Ovis aries: one gene and its partner. The protein of the gene in region 2 purifies or fractionates together with the protein of the main gene of each other region. This does not show direct contact. Links are inferred from orthologs where the notes say so. Each region holds a gene or a part of one and is shown on either strand. Other genes may lie near its edges.

Region 1 (15,668 bases), on a different chromosome or scaffold from region 2:
ATACTACCTACACATAAAATCCAAGCAAGCTTCCAGAGTTCTCAAAACCTAACCATACTTTTCTCTTCCAACTTTATTACACATTATCCTCTAACCAGATCCTCCTGTTGCAGCCAAATCCATTTCCTCATGCCATGTCATCCCCTGCATCTGCACCTCTGCCATGCCGTCACCCCTGGAATATACTCTTCCCCTTTCCAATCCAAATCCCACCCCATCATTCGTAACGTCTCCCAGGACTATATGTGCTCGCTTCTCTAAATAGCCATTTTTTTCACTTAGTTCTACAAAGCAATGACTGTCAGTGTGAGCATCAGGTTCCTGGAGTCTGTTATCGCAAAGTATTTGAACGAATTTCATGAATCATTGTGCACAACATGCTTTCAACACATATGTAGACTGAATGATCATAGCTCATACATATCTGTATTCCTTTTCAAATGTACGAAGTTATGACCTTATTTTTTGTTGTTGTTGAGTCACTAAGTTGGGTCCGACTTTTTGTGACCCCATGGATGCATGCCAGGCTCCATGGGGCTGTCCAGGCAAGAATACTGGAGTGGGTTGCCATTACATTATTTAGAAGTGTTACTAAACGTATATACCTGCTTTTCATTGTATATTTTATTAATCCACAGTATATGCATAAATGCTAGAAATGAACTGCCAAAGAATTTTATGTAAAAAATGAATGCTCTTACTTCTGAGTAAAGGCGTAGACTGAATATGTACATTAGCTCCACTCCTTCCCCAAGCCTGAGGATAGGAGATTAAAGGGCTTAAGCATGGGTAGGATAAACATACTAGGACAAAGAGAAAGGCAAAGCCACAGAAACAACAACATTTTCAAAAAAGAAGGTGGGCAAGTGATAATTTACTTAGCAGACACAAGAAACCCAAATCCTCAGCTAAGTAAAGAAAGTACAAAAGCAACCTGATTTATATCACAGGACCACCCCACTACTGGTGCTCAAAAAGGGAATGATGGCAACAAGGATCTCTGGGAATAGAAGTGGAACAGCTAAAAATTACAAGATTAGTTCAGTGTGTGCTTAAGAAACAGATTTCTAGATCCCTTACCCCACACTGTAAAGCTAGAGTATGCCCCCCACTCCCACTCTTGCAGACGACTCTGGAAAGCATAAAATGAGGGTGCGTCTACATTGGAGGACACCAAGCACCATTCAAAGGTAGGAGTACTACTGTCAAAACAAGGGGATTAAGTAAAAATTGACAAGCTTAATGTTACAAATCCCAGCCTTCTTCCCCTACACTGCTCTCGGAAGTGAGTAGCCAAAAATACCCTTCAGGCATGATATGAGAAGAGGCAGTTTTCTCTACAGCAGGAGTTTTCAAATTTTCTGATCAAATCTACATTAAGAAATACATTCTACATCAAGGACCAAAATGTACAAATAGATACAAAGAAACAAATAGAAACAAAGTTTCATGAAAATAAGAAAAGAAATCACCAACACTCTGGGCAAGGCATCCTGAAATCCATGGCTCCATTCCACTTAAAAAGAGAGATGCTCCTACTACCTGCTAAATTGACCCAATGCCCACTAATTCAAGATCTGCAGTTCAAAAAAATGTATCTAAAGAATCTAGCTAGTTTAAGGGTACAAAAAAATCTAACGAAAAAAAAATTTTTTTAATCCTTGAAGAATTAAAGGATTCTTAATTCTTTAATAAAGCAGACATGAGAAATCCAAATCCTAAGCTAAGCAAAGAAAGTCCAGAAGCAACCTGATTTATATCATATCATTTTAAGGATAAAATGATAAAACAATGCAAGAGAGAGCTAAAGGAAGATGACAACGGAAGATCGTAAATGCACAGCCATGCCACAGGCCCAGAGAATCAGCCAGGCTGGAGCAGGTCATAGGCTCAAAGATTTCTTAAGAATCTTTTAACGGGATACTTAATGTGCCTGGGTGTTTTGAAAGGATATGCATAACCTGGAGAACTTGGGGATGAATTATTGATATTTACATACCAAATCAGGCAAATTTTTAAAGAAGAATTATTAACTCTCAGGAAAACAATATTGTGAGGAAACAGAAAAACAGCTCAGGTAGCTGGTCCATCATTTTCTGCCTACTATCTATTACAATGCTTCCACCTTCACTTCTACACCTTCAACTAAGAATCTGCTTTGCCCTTTTCCAGACTGTCATACAACCATTTCCCCAATATACACTTTTTAGAAAAGGTAATTTAGAGGGAAACACAACAGTTCTCTTCAAATATGTGGGCAATTGTCTTATGGAAGAGGTTTAAACATCTTGTATGGTTCAAGGGTAAAACTAGGGCCAATTGAAGAAAATTTCATGAAGCTAGACTCAATTCAATACAGGATAAATTTCTAAACCATTATGACCTATTTTCAAACAGAATGGGCTATCTAGTGAGAAAATATTCTGTCACTAGAACTACAAAAACAACCTGTTTGGGGATGTAAAGGTGATTGAAACAGTGAAGAGCTGGACTAGATCAGTAATTCTCAACCCTTGCTAGACACTAGAATCACCAAGGGAGTCCTTAAAATACTGATGCCTGGACCTCATTCTCCTCGACCTAACTTAGGTTTAAATCAGAATTCAGACTATCCACAATCCAACAAAGAGAAGATCCCACATAACTAAATTCCAGTATACAGTTTACTTTCTAACTTTTTGAAAACTGGTTTGAACTATTCAATTTTGTTGTTAGATTACAGAACACATCTCTTATTCAGTCCCAAAAATATCTAGTACAAATTGACAAATTTACCAACAAGAATACAGGCGATCAGTTAAATAATTTGTTCAAGATGACAAAATACCTCGCAGGTGCTAACTCAGGAATTTTATACCCCTCTCTTTATAGTTAAGAACATTACAAACACAAACATGTCCTTCCAACCCTACTAAGAAAAAGCTACTTACATAACTGTGAAGAAGTAATTTGTTTAAAAAGCTTTCAAATAGTTGGGACTCAATCAGTTATAAAAAAGTTTAATTGTGCCCAACACTGTAAATCAACTATACTTCAATTAAAATATTTTTATAGTTAACTGTGATTGATTAAAGGGAGATAAAGAACATTTTCTAAAGAAATTATTTAAATACATTTACTCCAAATGCTCTGCCAGCAAAGCATTAAACATGAAATTTCAAAAACTATCCCACTTGATACTACTTGATACTATACCTTGATAGCTTCAATGGCATATTCGACTTGAAATAATCTTCCTTCAGGAGAAAAAGTATTCACACCCCTATAATTTAAAGAAAAAAAGGTATTAAAATTTTCAGAGAAAAGAAAAAAACACACACACAAAAAAACCACATAGAGACATTAAACTCAAGTTCCCTGACATCTAGCTCGGATGTGCATATTGTCATTATTCTCTTTTAACCACAACAAGCTTCTATTTTCTGGGTACATTAACAGTTTTTCAAGAGAATGGAACCTATGTACAGAACACTTCTGTCCCACTCTCAGAGTATCTTCAAACTGACCAAATGAGAGTAGGCGACTTTCTGCCTCAAGCCTGAATCAATTTGGAATCCCTTTGGTAAATTCATGCCCCCAAACTATCAGGTAATTCTTAAGAAAACGTGCATTTATCCTTATCCTCTTTCCATTATGTGCATTTGACATTTCTTTTTAGTAGAAGTCAGCCACAGGGGCATTTCTCTGGTTATTCGAATGAACTAGTATTGTTATCGGAACAACAGACAGATCTGTGTGGTTCCTAAAACCTAACCTGATTAATTCACTCAGTATATTATCTAATTATATGCCAGAATGCTCTTCTCCCTTAAACAATTCCCAACCTTTCCTTGCTCCGGTCTGTTAGAAATTCCTTTGGAGAAGAGGCAGCATAGTATTAGCTATACAAGCTTTCAGCACGTGATGGACACTAAGAATATTTGAACAAATAAAAGCAAATAGTTGTGTTCCTTGGTTTATGGAATCTGGAGTTTATAACATGTAACTATCATGACAAAGAGCAGTGTTTTCAAATTTATCAAAAACTTTCTTCCCCTAAAAGAAATGTGTGTGTGTAACTCCCAAACATAAAACAGATAATAAAGGCTGATGTTTACTGCATGTCTACTATATGCCTAGCACTGTTATAATCCTAGAAATGACAGCACACTTAATCCTCAATCCCATGAAGTAAACTAAAGCAGATACTATTTTAGAGAAGAGGAAATTGAGACACAAAGAGGTGGAGTAATTTGCCCAAAGTCACTCAGCATATAAGAATCAGAGCTGGAATGAGAATTTAGTCAATCCGACTACAGAGATGAAGCTTCTAACTATCAGGACTCAAAGGAGAATCTCACCATTCCAGCCTCTCATTTTCCCCAGAGGTGCTTTCCTCAAGGTCATTTAAAAGGAAATTTATGACTCTAAAGAACAGTTTTTTAAAAATCAGTGAGAAGGAAGTCAGGGCAGAAGATCTGGGATTAAATTCTAGTTGTGTCACCTACTAACTTTCCTTCTCTCAAATGCAAAAAAAAAAAAAAAAAAAAACACCCTACCTATCCTGCTTCTATCACAATACAATTGGTATTGAATGGCACAGATTATGAAAGTGAAAGTTTAGTCGCTTAGTCGTCTGACTCTTTGCCACCCCATAGACTGTAGCCTACCAGGCTCCTCCGTCCACGGGAATTTCCAGGCAAGAGTACTGGAGTGGGGTGCCATTTCCTTCTCCAGAGGATCTTCCTGACCCAGGGATCGAATCTGGATTTCCCACATGGTAGGCAGACGCTTTACGGTCTGAGCCACCAAATTACTCTGTGAATATGAATACAGTATTTTCGCTCTAATTCAGGAACTTCATCCTGGTGAAGTATTCCCATATCTTCTCTAATATGGGCTCTGCTCTTGGCCCTCTTTTCAAACCTTCCCTGGGTTATTTCATCTATACTAAGCACTAACTACTTCCAAATCTCTATTGCCAGTTTGACCTCTTTCCTCGTTAAGCTGAATGTCTTCTGAGTGTTTCCACATGGATATCCCATTAATACCAAACACTTAACACTTTCCAATCTGATAAATCTTAAATCCAGTCATCCTTTCGAAATCGGCTCCACCTGCTGCCATTCCTACTTCATTGTTTACTTTGAAACACCTCCCTGCTCCCAGTTTCCCAAGCGAGAAAGTTCTGAATGACCTGACTCAGTGCTTCCCTTCTCCCGTATTAGTGCACAAGTGCCCAGTCTCTTCAGTCGTGCTGGACTCTGCAACCCCACCGACTGGAGTCCAGCAGGCTCCTCTCTGTCTGTGGGATTTTCCAGGCAAGAATACTGGAGTGGGTTGCCATTTCCTCCTCCAGGGGATCTTCCCGACCAAAGGATGAACCTCCAGCTCCTGCATGGGCAGGCAGATTCTTTACCGCTGAGCCACCTGGGAAGCCCTTTCCCATATTAACCATATGCCAAGTCATATTAATTTAAATCAGTTCCTCCCCCACAGTAACTCAATTCTCCCTTCCATTCTCAATGCCCTCATTACCTTTCACCTAACTATAACAGCCATCTAACCGGTATTGACTCTTTCCTCTAATTCAGTCAATTAGTTCCTATAAATACAATTATGACTGTGTAACTTAAAATGACAATTAATGGCACAAAATAAGACCCAAACCCTTCAACTTCAAATTAAAAGCCACCCAATACCTAGCACCAGTGTTTTTCTCTGAACTCCCTATTCCCATATGCGCATTGTATGTGCCAGAAGCCTAGAATTTTCTCAAACATGAACTGTGTTTTCTCACGGCCCCTCCTCTGTTCATCTTATATTCTCTGCCTCAAAACTATTGACTCTTACTGTGCATATTTATTAAATTCTTACTCCTGAACTCAGTTTAAATATCAACTCCTTCTAAAGTTTTCCATAATCCCCTTATAATATCAAATGCAACCTCTGTCATTAAAACTCCCATAGTGTTGATTTCAGCTTCTCTAATGACATGAACACATTTCTGACTTATACTGTAGTTACTTTTGTAAACAGCGGGGTTTTTTTTTTTTGGCCATACCTCATAGCTTATAGGATCTGTTCCCTAACCAGGGATCCAACCTGCACCCTCAGCAGTGAAAGCCCAGAATTCTAACCACTGGACCACCAGAGAATTTTCCTGTTAAGTAGTTTTTAAAGGACAGTCTCCCATATGAGAACAAGGATCTTGATTTTTTTCACTGCTATATGATCAGCAACTAAAACAGTGCCTTGTACACAGCAAGCATTTAAGTATATTAGCCAAGCAGACTATATTTTAGGCATTCTTATGAAGATACAATGAAGGAGGAAATGGCAACCCACTCCAGTATCCTTGTCTGGAGAATCCCCTGGATAGAAGAGCCTGGTGGGCTACAGTCCATGCGGTCGCAGAGAGTCAGACACGAGTAAAGCGACTCAACACAAACGCAGGAAGATACAAAAATGAGTAACACGAAGCAGTTAATAAAGCTGTTAAGTAAATGATCACAAAAACCTTAATAAAGGTTTTCTGATAAGGACAATTTCCATCATACACACCCTTACTCAAAACTGTATCACACAAAGACGATTCTCTTCAATGTTTTAGAAAATACCGACCAACAAAGTCATTTTATAGGACAGTAGAAAAAAAGTCAGTTTTAAAGCCTCACATACATCTTATGAGTCAGTAAAAATTTTTTTTAGAAGTAGCAGTTCTAGGTGATAAGACTTTCAACAAGATCAACATATACTTGAGAAGAAATGCAGCTTCTCAAAGCCATCTAATAAAGAGAAAACATCTGCCTTTCCTGGCCTCAAAAATTTTTAAGCAACTTAATAGCTAGCTATGTGAATCATACCTGATCAAAACAGAAACTGAAAGTAAAAATGTCTACAGCATAAGTAGAACAACTTAATATTAACATTCCCAAGCTCTGAAAGTTTTTTAAAGATACAACAATCTCACAGCTTTGATTTCAAAAACAGGTTTGGTTTTCGACACACTTAGAGCAACTTCCCTTAAACTTTTTAAAAATTCAAAAAGGCTATTTGAATCAGCATGATGACAAAACTCTTGAGAATCACTCTAAATTTCAGTTCCCACAAAATCTGACTCCAGACACTGTGTCTTGGCAAAGCTGAGACTTCCTTCGCTCCTCTGCAGAAACTAAACATCCCAGGACGCCCTACTACAACTCAATCAAAGGAATAGCACCTTTATTCCCACAACTAAGAAACGGAAAACGAGGCTGTCCTCCTAGAAAGAAAAGGGAGCTGAAATCATCAAACCCATTAAGTGATCCCTAATTGCTTTTTCTTCCAGGTAGCGCGTTTACATCTTTTAAAAGGCAGTCACACTCAGCACAAAAAGAAGGGGAGAGAGGGTGACTCCTGGCCTTCCCCGGGTTAAAGGTCAGAGTTCCGGCCCCATCAGCCTTCTTTTCCGAAGCACAAAGCGGAGCTTCACGCTTCCGCACCGACTTGGGACCCAGCAGTGACTCAGCGGTAGGACAACTGAGGCCGATGGGCGCAAATCTAGCCTTGGAGAACACAGCGGACGCCTGGGGAAGGGAGGAAACCCCCTGGCTGGGCCAGAATTCGGGTTCGTGGGGGTGCCCCGATGACACGGCAGAACCCAGGCCCAGACCGGGCCCCGCGTCCGCCCACCCGTTACCTGACCCCCTCTCCCCTCCCCCCCAGCCATACAGACCTGTCGTACTCAGACCGGGTGAGAAACATGGTAAGGGCAGGAGAAAGCGGCAGTGGCTACTCCGGGATTCTTAGAGCCAACACGAGTCCACCTGCAACCAACTCACCCACACCGCCACACTGCCAGGGCCACTCTCCCAGCTGCGCGTGCGCTCGCCACCCTTCAGCCCGCCCTCCCGTACCTGTCTCTTATTGGTTGATCGGAGTTCCCGCCGAGGTGATTGGGCCAACGAGCTAACCCGCCGGGCCTCCGGTGGCCCAGGGTGGGCGGGACAAAGGTCGTTCTTCCGTTTTAAATCGCTAGTGGTTGCCAGGGGCGCTCGGAACTGAAGGCGTGTGGTCAACCTGTCCCAAGATTGTCGACTGGGTAATTTTATGGCGAGCCGGACTGTCTGAACCCTGGTTTGATGGGTCCCTATCAGAGAGCGTTTGTCCCAGGCTCTCCTCGCTGTCCACCCGCCCGGCTGTTAGCTGTATTCCCCGCTCTTCCGGCTCTGGCGCAGACTTCCCTCCAGGTGCTGTGACTGCCTGCAGGACTGAACTTGGGAAATGCTTGCGTCTGCACCGGTGCTGTGAGCGAGTCCATTCACTTCAGCTCACCCTTCCCATGGCTCGTTTGTTGAGAAAAGTTGGTGAGTTTTAGTTGGTAGGAAGGTCTTGAAGTTTCCCCATGGCCAGGGTAATTTTACAGGAAGTCTCCTACATAGGAAATTTCAAAGTTGAAAGTTGCAAACTTTCAAAGGTGGGAAGTGCCTTCCCCTGTCCAGTTACCTAAGATAGTTCACATTGTCACATGTGTGCGTCCTTTACAAGTGGTTTTGCTTTTGTGTTCTTTACAGTAGTATATAGAGTACAGTAGTATAGTATCTTTATTTGAAGGCCAAGATATCCCGAAGTGAGCTAAAGCAGTGGTGATGTAGCTGGTACTACTGTACTTTCCAAGGTACTGTACCATAGATTAAAAGTGTTTTCTTTATTTTTTTTGTGTTTGTTTTTTATATATTAGTGTGAAAAGTATTTAGAAACCTATTACAGTACAGTACTATATAGCCGATTGTGTTAGTTGGATGCTTAGGCTAACTTTGTTGGACTTACTAACACGCTCTTGGAAGGGAACTCATTCATGTGTAGGGGACTTCCATTCTTACCCCCCAGCCACTAGTACTACAGGCTTTCAACCTAGTGACCCAGAGCTCTGGATCTGGGATTCAAATTGTTCACTGCTTTTTCTATTATCCATGAATTAACTGGCAGCAATGTCTTGTTTGTTTTTCTAACTTACCTTCCCTAAGGGTAGGAGAGCACACTCACAGCTTCATAGAAAGCTGTAAATGATACGTTCAAGAAAGATAGCCAGTTAGGAAGTCATTTAGTGCGTGGTGTATGACTGAAAGAGAAACGCCAGCGTTCCATTGTTGGTTAATAATATACCACTGGTCAAGGCCTCAACCTCTCCAGGCCTGTTTCTCTCAAATTCCTGACTTGGCCTCAGATTAGGTTTGTAAATGATCAAGGCAATTCAGTGTTAAGGGAAATATAGAAACAAGCCTTCTGAGTATTGGTATCTGTTTTCCCCATCCTTTATGTCCTTCCCTCATGAGTTCAACTGGAATTTTGTTTTGTGTCCTCCAGCCAGTAAGAAGTTTGACGCTGATAAAACTGAGGAGAAATTCCAAGAGCAATTCTCAGACGTCTTTTAGATTTATCCCTCAGGTTTCTGGTCAGCTTAATATGGCCTTTCTATTATAAAGGCCATAGTTAAGCTGCATTATGCTTTGTTAAGTTCATTATGCTTTCTCTTCTGAAGTTCTTTTGAAATATACCGTGAGTCTGAGTGAACTCCGGGAGTTGGTGATGGACAGGGAGGCCTGGCATGTGTGATTCATGGGGTCGCAAAGAGTCGGACACGACTGAGCGACTGAACTGAACTGAACTGAACTATTTATACATACCTACATAAATATTACCTATGTATCTAAATAGGTTGTTGTTGTTTTTCAATCACTAAGTCCTGTCTGACTCTTGTGATGCCATGGACTACAGCTACAGCCCACTAAGCTCCTCTGTCCATGGGATTTCCCAGGCAAGAATACTGCAGTGGATTGCCATTTCCTTCTCCAGGGGATCTTCCAGACCCAGGGATCAAACTACATTGCGGGCGGGTTCTTTACTGCTGAGCCACCAGGGAAGCTCACTTAAAGCATAATAATATATCCTGAACATCCAGGGATGCAGGGTGCTCTGCAGCCCTTATTAATATCAGATATTATGGTGAATGTCTCAAAAAATTATTTGAATGTAGAATTCTCAGGGTAAATGTGCTTGTGCCCTATATATCATAAGTGAAAGGAAGCTGCAGGTAGCTCTGATTGTGGATAAGAAGGGAAATCTTGTTTTCTCCCAAGAAAGTAGACCATTAGGGCATAAAAATCCAGCACCTACTGTAGTTTATTGCCCGTAATCAATCCCGTTCAATAAATGTTTCATCGAAAGTTGAACTGGATATCCCTCTGAAAAAAAATAATAAGGAAGCCATAGGCAGAAAGGAAAGGAATGAAGTAAACAGAGAATGAGCTGGACTCAAAAAATAGAAAGACATATAAACACCTTGGAGAGCTAGGCACATGGGTCCTGGAGCAAAATAAAGTGTGGCAGGACAGCCAGAGTGGACTGGAAACACTACGCAAAGAAACCAGTAAGAAGTGGTCCCTAAACGAAATTCTTTATGTGCCCGTAGTTGTCTGGCTTATAAATGACTGCACATGGCTGCTCATGTGGTTCATTGCTGTAACGTTTGGGACTCCTCTGATGGGCAGTTTTGACTGGAGGACCCACCAGCCTAACTTAGAGTTTCTTCAATTTGTGCTGCAGTCTGAGACCTGCCTACTCAATCCTTTCCTTTTTCTCTGCATAGATGTCAGGTATGTGACTTCACAGTCACAGTTTGCAGACTTTACCACCTTCCCTTCTCCTTTTCCTTTTATCTTTGAGAGATAGCTCCCCTAATAAATATCTTGCATGTTATTATGGGTTGAATTGTGATTTCCCCAAGATCCATATGTTGAAGGATCCATATGTTGAAGCCCTAAACACACAGTACCTCAGAATGTGACTGTATTTGGAGATGAGTCTTTGAAAGACATAAGTTAAAATGAACCTGTTAAGGTGAACCCTAACCCAGTTTGCCTGATTGCTTAAAAGTAGAGGAAATTTGGACACGTAAGGAGACACTTGGGGTATGTGTGCAGAGGAAGGGCCATGCTGCAAAAGTGGCCATCTGCAAGCCAAGGATGGAGGCCCCGAAAGAAACCAAACCTGTTGACATCTTGATCTTGGACCTCTAGCCTCCAAAAGAGTGAGAAATAAGTTTCTATTGTTTAAGCCACCCAGCCCTAGCTGATGTACATGTCAAATCACACTTTGGCAACTGCCTCTTAGAGGGCCCAAACTAGCACAGGTGGTACCAGGAGAGGTCCAGGAAAACATAGAAAGTGGAGAAAGTGTGACTGGCACACTCACTACCTTGTAAACAAAGATGACGCTTTCCTGAGTAGTATAAGGGCATGGGTACTTACTAACACAGTTGGTGATCCAGTTGCTAAAGGTTTAATCATTAGTAACCTGGCTTCCCTGCTAACTCAGACAGTAAAGAATCCGCCTGCAATGCGGGAGACCAGGATTTGATCCCTGGGTTGGGAAGATCCCCTGAAGGAGGACATGGCAACCCACTCCAGTATTCTTGTCTGAAGAATCGCCATGGACAGAGGAGCTTGGTGAGCTACAGTCCATGGGGTCGCAAAGTGTTGGACATGACCGAGCGACTAAGAACAACCTGGGAACACATCCTAGTGGAGGAGAAAGCCCTTGCAGGTACAATTTCAGGCATGTGAAATGCATGGTGGTTGGGGGAGAAACATGCCTGTAAGGGCAGTTACTGGTTACTGCACTTGTAGTGACACTCTGGAAAGGAATAAGGAGAAAGCAAGGGTTCTCCCTTGGATAATGGTTGAGAATGAGAGACAGTGGGCCTCTTTAGTAGCTTTCAAAGAGGCTTTTATCTCCTATCATGGAAGAGCTGACAGTTAAGCCACTGACTCGAGACATCAAAGAGACAACAGGTCAGGGCCCCAGTTGAGAAAACCTGAAACAAGAGATAGTGCATCTGAATGGACGTCTGTAAGGACGTTAGTTCTGCAAGCCCCGCATGAACTCTCAAAATTTGCAGAGGTGGTTTGCCTCTTCTTATTACTCCCTTCATGCTGAAAGACACTGCAGAGCCACTGCCCCACAAGGCAACATAGAAGCCTCTACCTCCTCCTCTACTGGCTGCCAGGGCAGTAGTAGTAGTTGCTCAGTCGTGTCTGACTCTTTGCGACCCCATGGACTGTAGCCCGCCAGGCTCCTCTGTCCATGGGATTCTCTAGGCAAAAATACTGGAGTGGGTTGCCATTTCCTCCTCCAGGATTTACTAGAGTTAAGTCCTACCGAAGCCCAGCTGAGAACATACATGGCCTGATACAGAAGGAAAGAGATTATATACAAAGAGCTGTAAGAATTAGCATATACAGACAGAAGCCAGGAGAGCATCCTGCGGTTGAATTTTGAGGTTGCTTGATCGAAGGGGCTGGACTATAAGACTACAATCAGGAATTCATTGAATTAGGAGCACTTTCTGGAGGCACAGGATTTAACACCATAGCCAAAACCCTTGGGGATGAAACAAACTGCAGGGGGGATTTTAGGAACCTAGAGAAAGTGATGGCCAATGCTGAGTAAAGTAGAAATGTCTCAGTTGCCCTGGCATGTGGTAGAAGAATGAATAAAAAGACAGGGAAGTGGGCCTGCAGGAATAGGTGTGAGGCCAGAGGACCCATCAGAGGATTATGTTCCACAGGAAGACCCAGGAAACACACCATTCACTAAGGCCGTCAGAAATCCTCTGGTGAGGGGCAAGAGCATCACCAAGGAGTTCTCTGCAGTCTGGGCTGACATAGGACCAGTCTGGGGTTGGAACAGAGCTGGGATTGATTAATAACTATGGGAATGATATCCCCCTTCCCCCAAGAAATATAGGCCAGATGGTGGCATTTAATCACTGGGAGGCCACAAATATTAAAAAGATTAGCAACATCTGACAAGATTGTCAGCCAAGGGCCTTGACCCACGGGGAATTATGGAGACGGATATAGAGCCTAGCATCTCTAGAGGTAAAGTTAACATCTACAACCAAAAACAGGCCAAGATGGAAAAATAGGAGACTGAAGATGGTCCCCCTCACCCCCAACCCTAGCTAAAAATTCATTATCCCTTGTTCAGTGTCTGGATTTGGGCCACTTTTCAGATCAGAAATCCGTTGACTAAGAGATGGCAGATCCTGCATCACTTCAGCAAGTTATACATGTAATAATTCTCCAGTCCTTCCCCAAAGAGACCTGTGGCCATTTACTATAGTGACTGCACATGTGGAAGAGGGAAAACCAGAAAATTGACTCAAAAAGTGGATTTCAGTACCCTGAGACCCAAGCATTGTCACGGCCCCCTGTTAGACTGGAAGCTTATGAGGGCCTTGTGGTAAATGGGGTCCTTGCTAAAGTCAGTAACAGTGGGTCCATGGTGTCTGTTGGCCCACCCAATGATCATTTCTTCAGTTCCTGTGTATGTAATTGGAATTGATCTATTTGACAGTTAGGTGCGAGAGCACCTGAATCTTAAATCTTTGTAACTAGGCTCAAACATCTTTATTAATCGAAACAGGAACCATTACAGTCTATACATTTTTGCCAACAAGAAATAAATTTATTTATCCCTATCATATAAAAATCCATGCTTCAGGATTAGGCAAACTCTTGGAAAGCATTTTCTGCATCCTGCTGCTTGTGGGAACATTTTCCCTGCAAAAAGTTGTCAGGCTGCTTGAAGAGGTGGTAGTTGGTTGGCAAGAGGTCAGGTGAATATGGTGGATGAGGCAAAACTTTGTAGCCCAACTCATCCAACTTTTGAAGCATCGGTTATGTTATGCGATGTGTGGTCGGGCATTGTCATGGAGAAGAATTGGGCCCTTTCTGTTGACCAATGCTAGCTGCAAGCGTTACAGTTTTCAGTGCATCTCATCAATTGGCTGAGCATGCTTCCCAGGTGTAATGGTTTTGCTGGGATTCAGAAAGCTGTAGTGGGTCAGACCACCAGCAGACCATCAAACAGTGACCCTGACCCTTAATTTTTTTGGTACAAGTTTGGCTTTGGAAAGTGCTTTGGAGCTTCTCGGTCCAACCACTAAGCTGATCATCACCAGTTGTCACGTAAAATCCACTTTTCATTGCATGTTACAGTCTGATTGAGAAATGGTTCATTGTTGTTGCACAGAATAAGAGAAGATGACTCTTCAAAATGACAGTTCTTTTTGATTTGCAGTCAGCTTATAAGACACCCACTTATTGAACTTTTTCACTTTTCCAATTTGCTTCAAATGCCTAATGACCATAGAATGGTCAGTGTAGAGCTCTTGGGCAACTTCCCGTATAGTTGTAAGAGGATCAGCTTTGATGGTTCAGTTGGTCATTGTCAACTTTAGATGGCAGGCCACCACACTCCTCATATTCAAGGCTCCTGTCTCCTTTGCAAAACTTCTTGAACCACCACTGCAGTGTATATTAGCACTTCTTGGGAGAAATGTATTGTTGACCTTGCAAGTTGTGCTGCTTTATGACCCATTTTGAACTTGAGTAAGAAAATCGCTTTTATTTGCTTTTTTTGTCTAACATGATTTCCATAGTTTAAAATATATATAAAATACATAGCAAGTAATAATTCATTAGCAAAAAAACAGAGCAAGAAATGTACGTTAAAATGATGAATAACATAACCACATTTAAGAATATATTCTGATATCAAATGGCAAATTTCAACAGTGCAAAACCACAGTTACTTTGGCACCAACCTTGTAATTTGTTGCTGCTGTTGTTGTTTAGTCTCTAAGTCGTGTCCAGCTTTTTCATGAACCCATGGACTGTAGTCTGCCAGGCTCCTCTGTCCATGGACTTTTCCAAGAATACTGGAGTGGGTTGGTTATCATTTCCTCCTCCAGGGGATCTTCCTGACCCAGGGATCAAACCCACATCTCTGTGTCTTCTGCATGGGCAGGCAGATTCTGTACCACTAGCACCACCTGGGAAACCCAGTCCCTGTCATGTGTCCATTTAATTAGCCAGTCTGGCCCCTGCAGAAACTAACTGGGTGGATCCTGAAGAATGACTGTAGACTATTGCAGGCTTTAGCAAGTAACAGCTCTAATCACACCTGCTGTGCTGGGCATAATATTGTTGCTAGAGCAGATTAATAAGGCATCAAGATATGGTGTATGGCCAGTGATTTGTTGAATGAATTATTTTCCATTCTAATTAGAGAAGATATCAGAAAAGGTTCACATACATGCGGGGTAAATAATAATACTTATGTACAGTTTTGTCTCAAGGATAAGTTAACTCTGTCCTCTGTCATAATATAGTCAAAAGACATCTGGACCACCTGGACAATTCATAGAATATCACATTGACCCATTACATAGATGATATTATGCTAGGCAGACAAGTGCAAGCAAGAGGTGGCTAGTATGCTGGAGGCATTGGAAAGACCCGTGCTGCAGAGAGTAGAAAAATGCTGCAAAGATTCAAGGATTTGTCACTTCAGTGAAGTTTTTAAGGGTCCATCCTTCCACGCAAAAAATAGATTGTTGCATCTTGTATCCCCTCCCACAAAGAATGCACAGGGCTTGGTATCTCTCTTCATCTTCTGGGGCAGTATATTCCATACCTGGGAATACTTCTCCAGCTTATATACTAGGTAACAGAAGATTTCCAGCTTTGAGACCCAGAACAGAAGGGCTCTTCAGATGGTCCGGTCTCCTATACCAGTATCTCTGTCACTTTGGCCATATATTCCAGCAGACTCTTGTATTAGAGGGGTCAAGCGTGGGA
Region 2 (15,468 bases):
CAGCCCCCAGCTCTGGGGCACGGCTTTGCCGTGGGCTGTTCTTCCAGGCAGAGTGTGGTCCCGGGTCTGCGCGAAGCCGCAAGTCAAGTTTCAGCGCGCAGTGGTGCAGCCCCCACGGCCAGGGAAGAGGTGAGCACAAGCCCCACGCTCCCCGCCTGACCCCCCGGCCTGTCTCCCCCCTGCCCCTCACTGTGCCCCTACAGGCTGGCTGACCCCGGCAGGGGCCGTGGGCTCAGGAGAACTTTGTGGGGAAGCAAGCAAACTCGCAGGCCTGCGTTCCAGCCCCTCCTGTGTCTCAGTCACTTCACTTCTGTTTCCATGGGCGGGTCACACTCACCTTCACCTCCAGGCCTGTCTGTCTGCTGCGCAAACTGGGAGGTGCCTCAGCCCTTCTCGCATGCTGGGCACAGGGCCCCCCCGGTCCAGGACAGGCCCACAGTGCAGGTCCCGGGACAGCAAGCGGGGTCCCCGGGCCCCACCCACCAGCTGTGCCTGCACCTGTGGCAGCAGCCCCAGGCCCTGCGTGGCCTCCCGCTGGCGGTGTAGACCTCTAGGGAACGCGTGAGGCCGCAGGGTGTCCCCGCACACCACTCCCAGACTGTCCGTCTTAGGTGACCGCGGTAGACGCTGGGCCTGTGGGGTCAGCACTGTCCCGTCACAGTCAGGCCCGGCTGCTGGACTGGAGAAGCTGGCTGAGCTGGGCTCCTGCAGGCGTGAGGGCGGCACTGCCCAGCAGAGGCCTGTGGCAGCACAGGCTCGGGTTTTGTGAGCAACAGCTGAGAAGCAGGGACAAAGCAGAAAAGCCTCCCGTGGGCCAAGCCCCCGAGACCCCACCCGCGTGGGCAAGGCAGCAGGGCCCGCCTGCTTGGCCAGGCTCTGGTCACGCGTGGGCCCCCGCCCATGTCCTCTGCACTCAGCAGGGAGATGCTGCTCAGGCACCTGAATGCCCGCTGCCCGGGAGACCAGCGCCACCCAGCGCCGCCTCCAGCGCCAACCTGCACACCCCCATCCCGACCCCAGGAAGCCAGGACCCCCTTCCAACAAGTCAGGCACACAAGCGACCCTTCTGCTTTCTGTTCTTTTCCAGAAACCAGTAACAACTCATCCAATATCCCGCATATTACCACCCGAAACAAAGGGTAAAAGAGTTTAAATGTCTCATTTTCTAAGAGCCTAATCACTTGCGACTAGGGGGAAGGGGCTGGTGAGCTGGTTCGACCACAGAAGAGCAAGAATGAGGCCTTGCAGCGGAAGTACTGCCCCAGGTACCACTTCCTACAGCCAAACAAGGGGGCCGAGGGGCCACAAGACTGAGGGGACCCTGGCCAGGACGCAGCCCCGGGCCGGGGGGACACAGCGCGCCGGCCTTGCTGGGGGGCCCTCTGTGCCCCACAGCCCCGACCTGGAGGCTCCTGGGCGGGACCCATGCAGCCCGTGAGTGGACAGGCCCCCTGGAGTGCCTGCTGGCAGCACAAAGCTTCGCCCGGCCCTGACCCAGCCTTCCATGCTGCCTGCATGCCGTCACGGCTGTTGTACCCCGGGGGGGATCTGTGTAAATGTACAGAAATAAAGACGTTGCCCCATTAACACACCTCCTCTGGAATGTCTTCCCTACCTCATCCGGTGGGATCCCCTACAGGGCATTTCACGACCACTGGCTACAAGGAATAAACCCTGTTGCTTCAGGTCTCACCGTGTCTCTGCCTCAGCGCCCGTGTGACCCCAGCCCCGGCCCTGCCCCAGGACGGCGGTGGGGGGGCTCCTGGCCGGGCGGAGGCAGGGCGGGGTGACTGCCCACCACGTGCTGAGTGCCGCCCTCAGACCCCCGAGGAGGGGGCGGCAGGTTTCCGAGCTCGCCCCTCTCGTGTGGACGTCCTGCTGACCTCACCCAGGGCCTGGAGCCTCCCGAGGAGGGAACGATTCTCACACTGTGACTGTCAGGGAAGACAGCACCCAGAGCTCTCTTTAATGTAGTGTTTTTTTTTAACAAGAAAGCAATATTTCTTTAATAAAGTATTTATACCAAACTCTCCTCTCCATAGCCCTGATTTTGTTACCTACTCCGCCCAGAGAGATGCCCGCCGTACCTCCAAGCCGTGACTGGCCGGGGCTGGCAGGTTAGTGGCTTAGCCCGGGACCCGGTCCCTGGAAGGGCCTTTCATCCCAGCTGTCCCAGCTCAGCTGTGGGCACTGGCCGGACACGACACCTGCCACCACGTGAAACGAGCTCCAGGGTCCCAGACCACCACCTCCCAGGACAGAAGGGGCCCACGTGGACCCCAAGCATCAGAGTCCTGTGCTGGCAGCACGCGGGGCACTCTCCAGGCCCACAAAGCAGGGGCCGCCGGACTCTGGGGAGGAAGCTGTGAAAACTCCCCAGGGACGTGACTGGAAGCCAAGTGAGGAACCACCAACCCAGGAACTCCAGCTTCCGGAGAGCAGCACGTGTCCCAGAGAGACTGACGCCACCGTGAGCCACGGAAAAACGCTGAGGATTAAGATGTGGGCAGAGGGGGACGTGGGCGGGAGGGGCCCGGGGCATGAAGGAGAGAGCAGACAGAAGGAAAGACGGCTGGCGGAAGCATGGGGAGGGGCTGACGCTGGGATGTTCAGCGAAGCAGGTAAGCCCGGGACCCAGGTCCTAGGGACCCCGGCACCCAGGGTTTGCAGAGCGTTTCTGGCGATAACCCAGCCCGGTGAGACGGTTCCCACCTACCAGGTGAGGGGACAGGGCCCAGCGGAGCAAGACCCAGGGGATGGAGCCAGCAGGACGGCCTGACAGTCGTGGCCCATGCCCTCTCTCGGACCGGGCGGCCCCCCATCCTCGCACATCTTGCTGGGGCCCTCCTCCCGGGACCCACCCCGGTGACAGGAGGGAGGAGGCCAGCCCTTTAAACACAAACAGGAACTCGTGGACCTGTGCCGCAGTGGATCCAGGCTGTTTATTCAAGCGTCCCCGGTGCCCGAGTCTCTCCGGCTAGAACTTCTCCGGAAAGGCCTGCATTTCCTCCTTGATCCGGTTTTCTACCAGCAACTCGAAGCTGCTACTGGTGTTTGGAAGGTTATAACTGACGAAGACCTGCTTGCTGGTCTTCCTGGCTGAAAGAGAGAGACCACAGGGACGCGTGTGACCCCACGCCTGCCCGTAGCAGAGAAAGGCCTGGGAAAGGCAGGCTTTTCGAGAGCGAAGAAAGCTCTGACTCCGACGACATCACGGGCAACTGCTGCAAAACAGACCAGCTGCCAGAGCCTGCCGGCGTCGGGAAGAGCAGCTCTGAGAGCCACGGCCCCGAGGCCCAGTGAGGCGCACCCCCAGCCCCCGAGTCTGCTCAAGGACCCCGGTGTCTGTGAGCCCCTGCGCTACACACAGGCCGGCTGCTCCGCGTCTTCAAAGCGCAGATAATGTCCACAGATTTAAAATATAAAGGTCCTTCAATACGACCCTCTCCCCCAACCCCACCACCCTCCTCCCAGAGGAGCTGACACTCCTCATGAACGTGTGTGCGGGTGTGCACACACGCGCACACACACGGGTGTGGTTTTCAATTGGACGCTGAGCACACGTCTGAGCCCCTTTCTACAGAACCACCCAGGGCAGGTGGGAGCAGCTCCAACCGTGAAAACCAACCTCAGCTGTAACCCCGGGTCCTGAGGACTAAGCGGGCGGTACCAGCCCCCTCACCTGGTCCCACCCCCGGGGCAAAGGCAAAGCGCTCCTCCCCACAGGCCACAGAGACAGATGAGTCCCACCATCAGAGGCAACAGTGGGCGGAGGGGGAAGCTGGGCCCTTCACATCACAGCAGCTCTGCGTTCAGTGGCAGAAAGTCCCTGTCCCCAGGGGCTGCTGACTCCCACCCCTTCACGCGCCAACCCCGAGCCCACCTTCCACGTCCGCCCAGCAGCCCCTCTGCCCTCCAGAGCCGCATGGAGCAAGGGGTCCCCATTCACGGGAAGCCCCCAGGGCCCCCAGGTCGCTCATCTCCCACACGAGATGGTCTCGGGACACTTGTCTCTTCAGCACCGTCCAGACAACCAGTAACAGTTAATAACGCCTTCCACTGCAGGGTCCAGACCCCAGCTCCAAAGGACAACAAGCAGGGCGTCCCAGGCCGGCCGGCCACGATCTCAGCAAGCATGTCACCTGCCCCGGGGGGCGCTGGCATCTCACCACATGCGTCTGACCCTGCTGGGCAGTGGGCTGGCATCTCACCACGCATGCCTATCCCTGCTGGGTGGTGGCCAATGGCTGCCAGGTTTGTGGATATCGGTAGGTAGGCGCCTCCATCACATCTGACCTAAGTTACAGAGGATGTCTGTATTCTGTTTCAGATTACATTGTTTGTAAACTGATGTAAACCACGTGAAAGAAAAATGCTAATTTAAAAAAACCCCAACATTTGCACAAAATGCAAAAAAAAAGATTAAAAGAGCCCCAGTTTACGCTCACAGATTGCCTCACCCCCAGGACACTGGGAGCCAGCTCATTCGTGTCTCCTCAAACGAGCTCCCACTGCCTCCACTCCCGGACTCTGTCCACACTCGGGGACCCCCCAGTCCGAGCTCCACACGCAGGCAGGCTCCCGCCCTCCTCCACCAGGCCCAGCAAACGGAGGTCTGGCTGCTGCGGGGGATGGTGTTACCCTGAAACGCAGGCACACACAGTGAAGCAAAAGGGCATCAGGGTTCCAACCCATTTCCACTGAAAACTAGCAACTCTGGCGAAGGCAGAGAAGGAAGAGCAGCACCTGGGAACCAGACGAAGGCGAAACAGGAAGCTTTCCTATTCTTCCTGCTGGTTATCTGTGGATTCAGAACTGCTTCCTGTTAAGAGGTCACCAAGATAACGTACTACTCGGGTTCCTATACCTTGAGACTAAAGCTCAAGTGTGGTGGATGGTCCTGAGACGCGGCCGCTGGCCCTGTGGTCTCCACCCCGTCTGGTGCGGCCTGTGGGCGCTGTGACAACCCCGCCCCTAGAAAGCTGCCATTCCCTGGGCTGCATGTGACTGTGGGGCGTCCCAGAGCGACCGGCACAGACATGCCCACTCCCCAGGGACCAGGCTGACAGATCTGTGAACACAGCCACAGGTAAGCGCCTCAAAACCATGGCAGGGGTCCCATCGCCACACCCCGGCAGGCACTGGGCTCCACACGTGGCCGGGACACTCAGGCCAGACGGGGGCGAGGCTGCTCTACCCACTGAGGTTCCCAAGCACCAGGGACCACCAGGCACGGGCATCCTCACCTGGACCAGCGAGGCATCTGCAGGACGTGTGCTCTGGGTACAGTGGAGGCTGGAGCCCCCAAACCTCGCCAGGCCCTCTCCCTTCGAGCTCTGAGCAGCATCACGTGCAGTGGATGCTACCTGGAGCCGCTGCCACTGGGCACCGTGGGCATCCCTCACCCTCGCCTCCCATGAGAACGAGGAGCAAAATCACCTGTCACTCATCGGCTCGGAGGCAACCAAGGCCATCGGAGCGGGTGGGGAGCAGGCCCCTGGAGAGGGTGCTGGCACCACCTCCTGAGACCTGTGCTCAAGGCCTGGGCTTCCTGCAGCAACCAGGGGGGTCACCTCCCAGACGGAGACCGTTCCTCCTACGCTGACTCACCTCCCCACTCCACTGAACAGCGAGGTCCCCACCTGGGCGCTCCGGCAGCTGAGCTGAAGAACTTACCTAAGCGCTGGGCGAGGCCGGTGGACATGGTGTCAGACGTGTCCCCGAGGAGGGCAGTGGACAGGGGGATGGAGTCCTGCAAGGAAAACAGAGCGATACTGGTTCCTCTGCGAGGTCCAGCGCTCCTGGATCACCTGGGCCCCCCTTCCTGCCACAGACCAGCCTCCCCCTGCAGTGGGCCTGTGTCCTCTCCCAGCAGCAGACAGGCCTGCCCAGGGAAGGGCTGGAGCAGCCCAGAGGGGCAAGTGGGTGCAAAGTCAGAGGGGCGGGGGCACCGCAGCCGTGATGGGGCCTGGAGGTCCATGCAGGCTCTGAACTCTTGGGGGTCTGAGCGGAGGGACAACAGCGCTGATGCTGTCAGTGCCAGGCTAAGCCAGGCCTGCAAGAGGAGTGTCCAGGTCCTAGCGTCCTGACCCCAGCACCTGCGAAGGTGACTTTATTTGGACACAGGGTCTCTGCAGATGTAGTTGAGATGTAAGCAAGGGGAGGTGGACTCTTCCTCTAACAGGACTGGTGTCTTAGGAAGAAGGGGAGAGACAGATGCACAGAGGAGGCCTGGGACACTGGAGCAGGACTGGGGTGATGAGGCTGCCAGACCAGGGGCCGCAAGGTGGGAACAGCGCCGCAAGGTGGGAGCAGCGCCGCAAGGTGGGAGCAGCGCTGCAAGCCCAGAAGCGGGAGGAAGCAGCCCGCTGACGCCTCGATTCCGCCTTCTCTGCTGTTCTCAAGCTCCCCGGGCTGCGGCCCTTGGTTACAGCAGCTCTGACACACGGTGGCAAAGGGGACCTCGGCCGACGGCAGCGATGGCGTGGGGCCCAGGTGACAGGTGAGGGAGGTGAGAAGTGGCCGGATTCTGCGGGAGGGGCGGCCTGGGGTCTGGAGCGCCCAGTGGGACACCAGTTACAGCCCGATGGGACGGCGGAGGGAAAGGGCGGGAGAGAGGTCCGTGCGGGAGATGTAAGCAAACGCGGTCAGCGGGGAGCCGGCAGAAAACCGGGGGGACACGCCACCCCCGGCCCAGGGAGGGTGAGAGCGGACAGCAGAGGTCCCACGGGGGCCCTGACACTCCAACCAGAGACGCGGGGTGGAGGGAACCAGCCGTGCGGAGGGACAGAGCCCCGCGGCGGGCGGCGCAGCCCCCGGCCCCTCCCCCACCCGCCCCGCCGGGACCCCAGCGCCCCTCCCCCTGCCTCCGCCCCCTCCCCCTGCCTCCGCCCCCTCCCCCTGCCTCCGCCCCCTCCCCTCCCCGCCCCTCCCCGCCCCCCGCCGCACTCACGTAGCGCGTGCACATGGCCACGGCGAGGTTGCGCAGGTGCGGCGTGGCCCCCACCCAGAGGAAGAGCGAGTCCGTCAGCCGCATCACGTGGAAGTGGACAAGCTGCTCCCACAGCCGCGCGCTGAAGTTGTGCAGGGACACGTCCCCGCCGGCGGCAGCCGCCGGCCGCTCCATCCGCACGGAGCCCGGCCGCGCCAACCCGCCCGCCGCCACCAGACGCCAGCAGGAGAGCGCCGAAAGGCCGAGTGGGCGGGGCCTTCCGGGAAGGCGGGGCCTGGGTGGGAAGTTGAGGGGCGGGCCCGGGAGGGGGCGGGGCGGGCCCGGGAGGGGGCGGGGCGGGCCCGGGAGGGGGCGGGGCGGGCCCGGGAGGGGGCGGGGCGGGCAGGCGTCTTCATTGGGCGCAGTGTAGACTCGCAGGAGCACCTTCCCGGGTATAGACGCATGATCTCGCGCTGTTTACTCGGTGCCACGAGCGCTCAGCGCTGCCGCCTGTGTCCCGCGAGCTGGATTACACTTTCTAAAACCCTCCTGCTGCCAGCAGCCCCGTAGCTGCAGGAGGCCCATGAGAATGGCAGCGATGTTGCAGGAGCTCTCAAAAGGAGAGCTGCGTGGACTGAGTTAGGGGCGTGGACTGAGTTAGGGGCGTGGGCTGACGCGCCTTTGGTCCGAGACAGCAGAGCTGACCCCTGTACAAGCGTGGGCCTCGGCTAACGGTTCAGCCCGAGACTCAGTCTCCCCATCTGCCTCAGAGACGGGGACGGGGGCCACTGTCAGCCCTGCTGGGGAGCTTGACTTGAGTCACTCTGGCACCCTTAGAGTTGACACAGGGACCCTGCAGTGTGTTGAGAGAGTGTCTTTGTAGTAAAAAGCACAGAGCGCCCATTCTTGTCAGATTCTGTTACAACTAACTTGGGCTTAAGGATAGAGATATCAGTTCTTCCTTTTAAATCCCTAACAGGTCTAAATTGAACTGACAGTTAAGAAAGTAAGTATTGTTAAAAAGCTTGCTCTGTTCGCTAATTAATGATTCAATCTATAATTTTCAGGTCAATATTATAATAGATTAACAGCTTTATTAAGAAACTACAATAACTGCACTGATCAAAGTCTACAAACTGAAGCTGTAACGCGTGTAACTCATAAAATCATCACCACAATCAAGAGGGTGCATGTCCATCACCCCCAGAGGCTTCCTCAAGCCCCTGGGAGCGCTTCCTGACCCCCACCCGGGACGCTGCGCTGCACTCAGTCACAGAGCAGTTTGCATTTTCTAGAGTTTTATGTAAATGGAACGTACAGTGTATACAGTGTTTTGTCTGCCGTTTCTCTCCTCACAGTTATTTTGAGATTCACGCAGGCTGTTACGAGTCAGTGATGATCCGGGTTCCGCTGGCTGGACACATCGCTGTGTGTTTAGCGGCCATGCGGTGGTGTCCACTTGGGCAGTTTTCAGTTTGGGGATGCTGCAGTTAAGCTGCTGCAAACACGTGTGAACAAGTAAGTCTCTGTGTGAACATGTGCTTTCATTTCTCGTAGTTAAAGACCTGGAGCAGAATGGTTGTACCGTGTGTGACTTCTTGAGAACCTGACAGACTGTTTCCACAGTGACTGTGCACTGTATGTCCCAGTCTGTTTCGTTTAGCCATCCTAAGGAGTATCTCAATGTAAGTTTAATTTGCACTTCCTTAATTAATAATGAACTTCAATTTATACATTACATCATACACAAAGTGAAGTCAAAATGGTTCAGAGACGTAAATGGGAAACCTAAAGCTGTCGGACTTGCAGAAGACATAGGGGAAAGTCTGTGACCTTTTATCAGACCAAGATTTCACAACAAAATACCAGAAGTGTGATCCATGAAAAAATAAGTCAACAAACTGGACTGACACAGCAGGTGATGTCACCCCACATTAACTCCTAATACCCTCTTAATGCCTTGTCCCCTTAGAAGACAAACGCCATTTTCAAATCAAGAGTTTCTCTCTCTAAAGAATCCTGAAGAGCTGTCTGAGAACCTAAGGCAACTAGCTAACCCCCTGTTCCCTGCCTCCTCCCCAGTCCAGCCCCAGCACAGGTGGGATTGTGCTCCTCTCTGTTCTTCCCACTGGGCTCAGATAACCACCAGGGAAGTCACATGACCCAGCAGGCAGGCTTACAACCTCTAACCACCCCATCAGCAGCTGTCCCTAACACGCTGCCCTGCGGGCCCCAGGATTGCACCCTCTCATTTGCCTCGAGGACGCTTCCCCTCAAGCCCTAACCCCACCAAGCCCAAGTTCACCACATAACCCAGCTTCTGCATTTAGAAAGAAAATCGAGGTTGTCAGGCTCAATTTCCCCAAGGCCTTGTCCCTCTACTCAAACCCATACCTTCCGGTGGCCTCATTCTTACCTCCTTCTCCCCCTCATTAAGCAGAGATGCCCCCTCCCTGTGTCCGAGGTTGATTCTTCCCTCTGTGCTCTGACCCTGCCCTCCTGCATGTCCTCAGGAACCCACCCCATCAACCATGCCAGTTCTGCAAACACTGTGGTGGCCTCTGAGATGTGCCACCCAGACCCCCTTCAAGAAAGGACTGGCTGTCCCAGCTGCTGGAACTGCCCAGAGCAGACAGCCTCCCGCTGTGGGCTCCTTCGGGGTCTGCACCCCCTCCCCAGGCAGCCCACACCCAGTGACTGACAGAAGCAGCTGCGGAAAGGCTAGGCCATTTCAGCTCAACACGGAACAACTGCGGGGGCCATTTTCATTCCAGACTGATGCTCTGCAGACGCTGAGCTCCACAAGGAGGCCCAGCCCCACCCCCACCGCCTGCCCTGTGCTCCCCCACCCTCCCTGACTTCCCTGCAGGAGAGCCCCCTGTCCGGAGGGAGGTTCGCTGACTCTGCCCAGTGGGGAGCCTCTCCTGGCCTGCCTTTTTACTTCGCACAGAGCAATCATTGGCACAATGTCCTTTTTCCTGCCCACCTTCCTTCTCAGGAAGCTTCTCGGGGCAGCTCCGGGGGCCCCTCACCTTGGGGTAGGTAGCTGGCAGGGCCCTGGGGGCACGGGGAAGATGGACTGAATGGTTGGGGGAGTGAGGGAGCTGGAGGAACAGCCAGGGACTTCACGGGGCTGCAGGCTCCTGGCCTGGCCCAGCTCTCGCTAGCGCTGTGTCCCTGCGCTGGGCCTCTGTTACCTTAGCTGGAAATGAAAAGACTGGCTTAGGTCACCTCCAGGGCCCCTTCCTGAAGCGACTTAGCAGCAGCAGCAAGGCGCCTTCCAGGGCTAGTGTCCTGTGAAGATCAGATAAGCATGCAGACGGGTAACAGGATCCTTCCACTCCAGGACAGGCAGGAGCCTGTAATTCTGCAGGGGGCCGCGGGGTGGCAGGTGGGAAGGAGGCGGGCCCCATGCAGAGCCGCCTTGGCTTTGCAGAGCAAAGGAAGGGCCTGGATCCTATCCTCAGGGTCAGTCTTTTCTCTAAACTGTTTAATTTTAGAACACTCAGGTAAAAGAGCAGGTCCTGGTTCCCACGCTGCCCACAGCCCCCAGATGCAAAGCCAGCAGCAGGAGGCTTCAGGAGAGATCAGCCTGCCAGCTGTGGGCTTGAAGAGGGGATGGGCCGGTGTTTCAACTCATCCCTCTCCTCTCTCTGCCACCCGTGTGGGTTGTGAGCCTCGGTCTGGTGTGAATTTCACCAAGAACTACAGGCTTTAGGTGATGGATAAGAGAACCGCCCATGGGGAAGACACCTATCAGCTTCCCCCCCGGGGGAGGAAAGGTGAGTCCCAGGTTCATGATGGGCCCCACCTGGAGATGCAGCTGTGCGCAGGCACGTGTGTGGCGTGTTCACAGCACAGTGAGTCACAAGAACATCCAGGATGTCAGCAGCATCACCACAGTCTCTCATGAGATCCTTGGGCCTTTAATCCAAAGTCAGACCCAAACTCTGCTATATGCCAGGTTAGTAATAGACCAGGTTACATGATGGTAATGTTTTAACCCTGAAACAGCAGTGCTGTGACGGAACCAACTCTCGTCTTCAGCTCACGATGTGTTTCTAGCTTGGACAAGAGGGTAGGAGGTGGGGGAGTGGGGGTACTGGGCTCCAGGTGCCACCTCGGGTCACAGCTGCAGTGCTGGGTCCAGCCTTTCAGTGCTCTGACCCAGAAGTGACGCATCACAGCCTCTTATAGCCCACTCACCGCAGATAGCCACCCGTCACTGTGGCTGGGCGTGGAGGGGTTCCAGGATGGGGGGCAGATGGAGTGTTGGATGAGCACCACTATTCTGCCACCGCAACAGAACAGCACGATTTTCTAAGAGTGATCACAACCAGTGCAGTCCAGATTTCCCAGGGCCCCGGGTCAGGAGGCGTGGCCCAAATGGTTAAACCACTCGAGTCATTTTCTAAACCGAAGAGTGTTCGATAATGCATGCCCTGCCCCAGATCTGTCCCACCCCCCGCCCCAACCCGAAAAACTTTCTCCAACTGAACCATTACATCCACTTCCATCCCGGGATTAAGTCCAGTCCTCCACACGCGGGCCCCGTCTCACGTCCAGGGCGGCACCAGCAGGTCGCATCTCTCTCCTGCATCTTTGACCCGCCCCTCCCTACTAGACGACTCCTGTCAGTGTGCAGACGCATCTTTAAACAGATCCCTGTCTCCCCACTGGCTCTGAGCGGCCCCACAACATGCCTGCCATTCCTCACCCTTGCCTTCTTGAACCTACTCCATCCAGCTGCCTTTCCGCGCCTGAGTGGGTCCCACCGACGCCACCAAAGACCTCGGCTGTGAGAGCCGTAGGCTGACACAGCCTCTCCCCTGCCCCGGCTGCTGCAGCTTCCAGCATGTCTCCTCCCTCCTGCCCCTTCTCAGGGTCCCCCCAGGTTCTGGGTCATGGTGGTCCCAGTCTCCCCAGCTCCAGGGCCCACTTGCTGCCCGAGCTGCTCTCCCTGCCAGGGGACCCCACCTCACAGCCCACACCGACCTCCCCCGAATTTGTGTCCCTGTAGGCAGCCTCCTTGCTGAGCTTCAACCCTATAAGTTCAGCTGCCCACCAAGCATTTCCATTCGAATGTGCCTAGAAACCTCTCATTTTCCAGGGGTCCCCCGGCAAGCTGGTTCCTCCAGTCTCCCAGTTTAGAACGTGGCCCCTGATTGTTAGGCATTCAGGCATCTCCCTGCTGGCTCTGCCCATCGCCTCCATCTGACGCAGACACTAACCTAAATGGTTCCCCCACCCCACGGCCTCCACCCTCATCTCAGCCCCTGGCCAGGTATCTATTCTCAGAATAGCAGGGTGAGTCCTTTAAGCAGCTCTCATCTTCCGTCATTTTTAAAATAAGAGGATTAGATTCTCCAACCAAAATTACCTAATGTGAGGAGTCTGTTTTCAGGGAAGACTTCTAAAAGGGGCTATCAGAACTATTCTGTGTGTGTGTGTGTGTGTGTGTGTGTGTGTGTTAGTTGCTCAGTCGTGCCCAACTCTTTGTGAACCCCATGGACAGAGGAGCCTGGAGGGCTCCATGGGATTCTCCAGGCAAGAATACTGGAATGGGTTGCTATTTCCTTCTCCAGGGATCTTCCCAACCGAGGACCTGAACCCGAGTCTCCTTCATTGCAGGCAGATTCTTTGCCATCTGAGCCACCGGGGAAGCCCCCATCAGTCTTTGAAGTCCCCAAAGGCCAGCGTTCCCAGTGCATCCGCCTCTCCCTTGCTCCTCAGGCAGCTCCCCTACTCTCTCTCCACGAATGCAGACAAAATATTTTTGCTGGCACCAACTGTCCCAGAACATTCCTTAGCACTGGCACGAAAGAAGAGCTCTGCCCAGGTTCTGACGTCATCAGGCTCAGGCACGAAAGGAAAACAAGATGACCCTGCTGGTGTGCTCCAGAGGAAGACAAACCTTCAGGAGGCAGAAGCAAGCTGAGCCATCACTGTTACCACGGATAGAACCCTCTATCGTGAGATTTTTCTGTAACTGCTTTTAAAATGTTCAGTTTCTTTACCAATTACACTTCAGCACAGCCCCACCCCACCCAGAGGTTAACCTGTTTAGCCTCTGCTGCAGACCAGCCGACCTCCTCACTTCACCTCCATCCTGGGCCCAGCAGGAGCCCCAGTTCTCATGGTTCTCTGGACGAACCATGCTGCTGCTGCTGCTGCTGCTGCTGCTGCTGCTGCTGCTGCTAAGTCACTTCATTCATGTCCGACTCTGTGCAACCCCATAGACGTAGACAGAAGCCCACCAGGCTTCCCCGTCCCTGGGATTCTCCAGGCAAGAACACTGGAGTGGGTTGCCATTCCCTTCTCCAACGCATGAAAGAGAAAAGTGAAAGGGAAGTCGCTCAGTCGTGTCCGACTCTTCACGACCCCATGGACTGCAGCCTATCAGGCTCCTCCGTCCATGGGATTTTCCAGGCAAGAGTACTAGAATGGGGTGCCACTGCCTTCTCCGGGAGGAACCATGAATGATGAATAAAATGGTTCCCCCAGTCTGGCTGGCCAGGGGTGTAGCCACGTGGGTGCCCACCCACAGGCCCAGGGAAGGTGGACACAAGCCCAGAATTCAGGAGCTAGAGCAGGAAAGGGCCTTCCAACAAGGGCAACGGCTGGGTGTCCTCACCCGGCTGACCCCTGCAGCTTCTAGGACTCACTGAGCTCTGGGCTAGAGGATGGCATCTGACCCCCCAGGCAGGGCTGCTGCTGCTAAGTCGCTTCAGTCGTGTCCAACTCTGTGCGACCCGGTAGACGGCCTCTCACCAGGCTCCCCCGTCCCTGGGATTCTCCAGGCAAGAACACTGGAGTGGGTTGCCATTTCCTTCTCCAATGCATGAAACTGAAAAGGAAAGGGAAGTTGCCCAGTCGAGTCCTACTCTTGGCGACCCCACGGACTACAGCCTACCAGGCTCCTCCGTCCATGGGATTTTCCAGGCAAGAGTACTGGAGTGAGGTGCCATTGCCTTCTCCGCCCCAGGCAGGGCCCGGATGATAATTAACAACGGGGGCAGGTGCCCGGCCACTTGGGGGAGACCCTCACAAGGATCCCATGAGCTGACTGTTATGACTTGAGTTTTCAAACAAGGAGATGAACAAGGAGGGACAAGGGACCCCAGAGACCCTTGGTCACTGCGGGCAGGGCTGGGCCTCTACCTACCCAATGGGGCCTCTTTTCCCATCACCAGGGAGGGGGCACTGAGTGCCAGCCAGGGAGCCAGGATGCAGGGCGTGCACAGGCCGGGGGCGGGGAGCCTGTTCCACACCGCATCCCTCGTCGGCTTCCACGGCTGGACACCAGCCACGGCCGGACACCAGCCACGGCCCTGAAGGTGGGCAGGGGCTCGGCCCGGGTCACCAAAGCCAGGGGGACTTGTATTCTCTCTCATCCCAGACCTCGGGATTTCCCACGACCCCAGCTGTTAGCCTTTCAGGTATGCTGCTCTCAGTGTGACTGTTTCGTGACTCAGCACTTTTCAGAGGAGCAAACTCGCACACCCGGAGGAGCACCCACTCCGCGGATGGGGTATGCCCTTGTGGTGGGGACATGCGGCCATCGTGGCTGTGTCGCTGTTGGGAGGGCCCCCTGAAGGCGCTGGGGAGCCCGTGGGGTGGCTGACACGAGGAGACGCGGGAGGAAGTGGAGACACAGCTGCCGGTTGAGGCTCCGGGCGCGGCCTCCCAGGCTTCTTCAGAATCCTGGCAGCTCTCGGAGCCGAGGACCGCCCCCCCAGGAGCGGACAAGGAGGACGGGGAACAAAAGCGGCTTCTCCCGAACACTGTGCGGCTCCGGGGGAAGGGTCACGTGACGCAGAGCAAAGCTCAGTCTGCAAGGCCCGGCGGGGGAGGGGGCGGGGAGGAGGAGGGGAGGGAGGAGGGGAGGGAGGAGAGGGGGGGGGGGGGGGGGGGGGGCGGCTGGCGGCTCAGAGCACTGGGGGTCTTCAGCGTCACAGCCCCTTTCCTGCCAGGGTGCCAGCCCGGCCCCTCGGCCCCCGAGCCCCTCCCAGAGCGTAGACCTGCAGGGCCCAGACCGTGGCTGCCGGGTGGGTCCCTTCCTGGTGTTTTCTTCCCGGCCCTGAAGAGGAGTCCAGCGGCCCAAAAACGAAAGACGCGGCCCATGAAAGCAGCTGTTATTTCAAGGAGAGCGGGGAGCAAGCCAAAGGAAAAATGAAAAGGTCCAGCGACAAAACGCCCATTCATGGGCTCACTCGGCAAACATTTACTGAGGCCATCTGTGCTCCAGGCCCGCCCCGAGTGCTGGGGGCACAAAGATGCCCTTGAGCGCGCGCCCCGCCCCCGGCTGCCCAGCCCGTCCGCCCGGCGCGCGGGGAGGGCCGCACCCCTCCACCCCCGACGCTCAGCTTCCGGAGAGCGGCCGTGTGCACGCGCATCGCGCCCGGATGAATGGACCTGCGCACTGTGCGGGGCGCAGGTGCATCCGTGCTGCCCGATACCTGGTTACTCTCCGGGGCGGGAGATGGAGACCACCAAGGGGCCCAGGAAGGCGTGCAGTGCCCACCAGGAGGGTCCTG

What was found.
Region 1: the proteins of PSMG4 (region 2) and PSMA5 purify together in Homo sapiens (co-immunoprecipitation; 3 studies listed by BioGRID and IntAct, with this or other methods). This does not show direct contact. The link is inferred for Ovis aries from reciprocal best matches to the Homo sapiens genes PSMG4 and PSMA5.

The regions. Positions count from the first base shown.
Region 1 is NC_056054.1:86,665,970-86,681,637, forward strand, and holds the start of PSMA5 (proteasome subunit alpha type-5), read right to left. Parts: upstream 7,839-15,668; 5' UTR 7,726-7,838; coding exon 7,697-7,725; intron 3,263-7,696; coding exon 3,196-3,262; intron 1-3,195. UniProt on the Homo sapiens protein: Component of the 20S core proteasome complex involved in the proteolytic degradation of most intracellular proteins. This complex plays numerous essential roles within the cell by associating with different regulatory particles.
Region 2 is NC_056073.1:49,578,706-49,594,173, forward strand, and holds PSMG4 (proteasome assembly chaperone 4), read right to left. Parts: upstream 7,200-15,468; 5' UTR 7,127-7,199; coding exon 6,953-7,126; intron 5,753-6,952; coding exon 5,677-5,752; intron 3,100-5,676; coding exon 2,978-3,099; 3' UTR 2,924-2,977; downstream 1-2,923. UniProt on the Homo sapiens protein: Chaperone protein which promotes assembly of the 20S proteasome.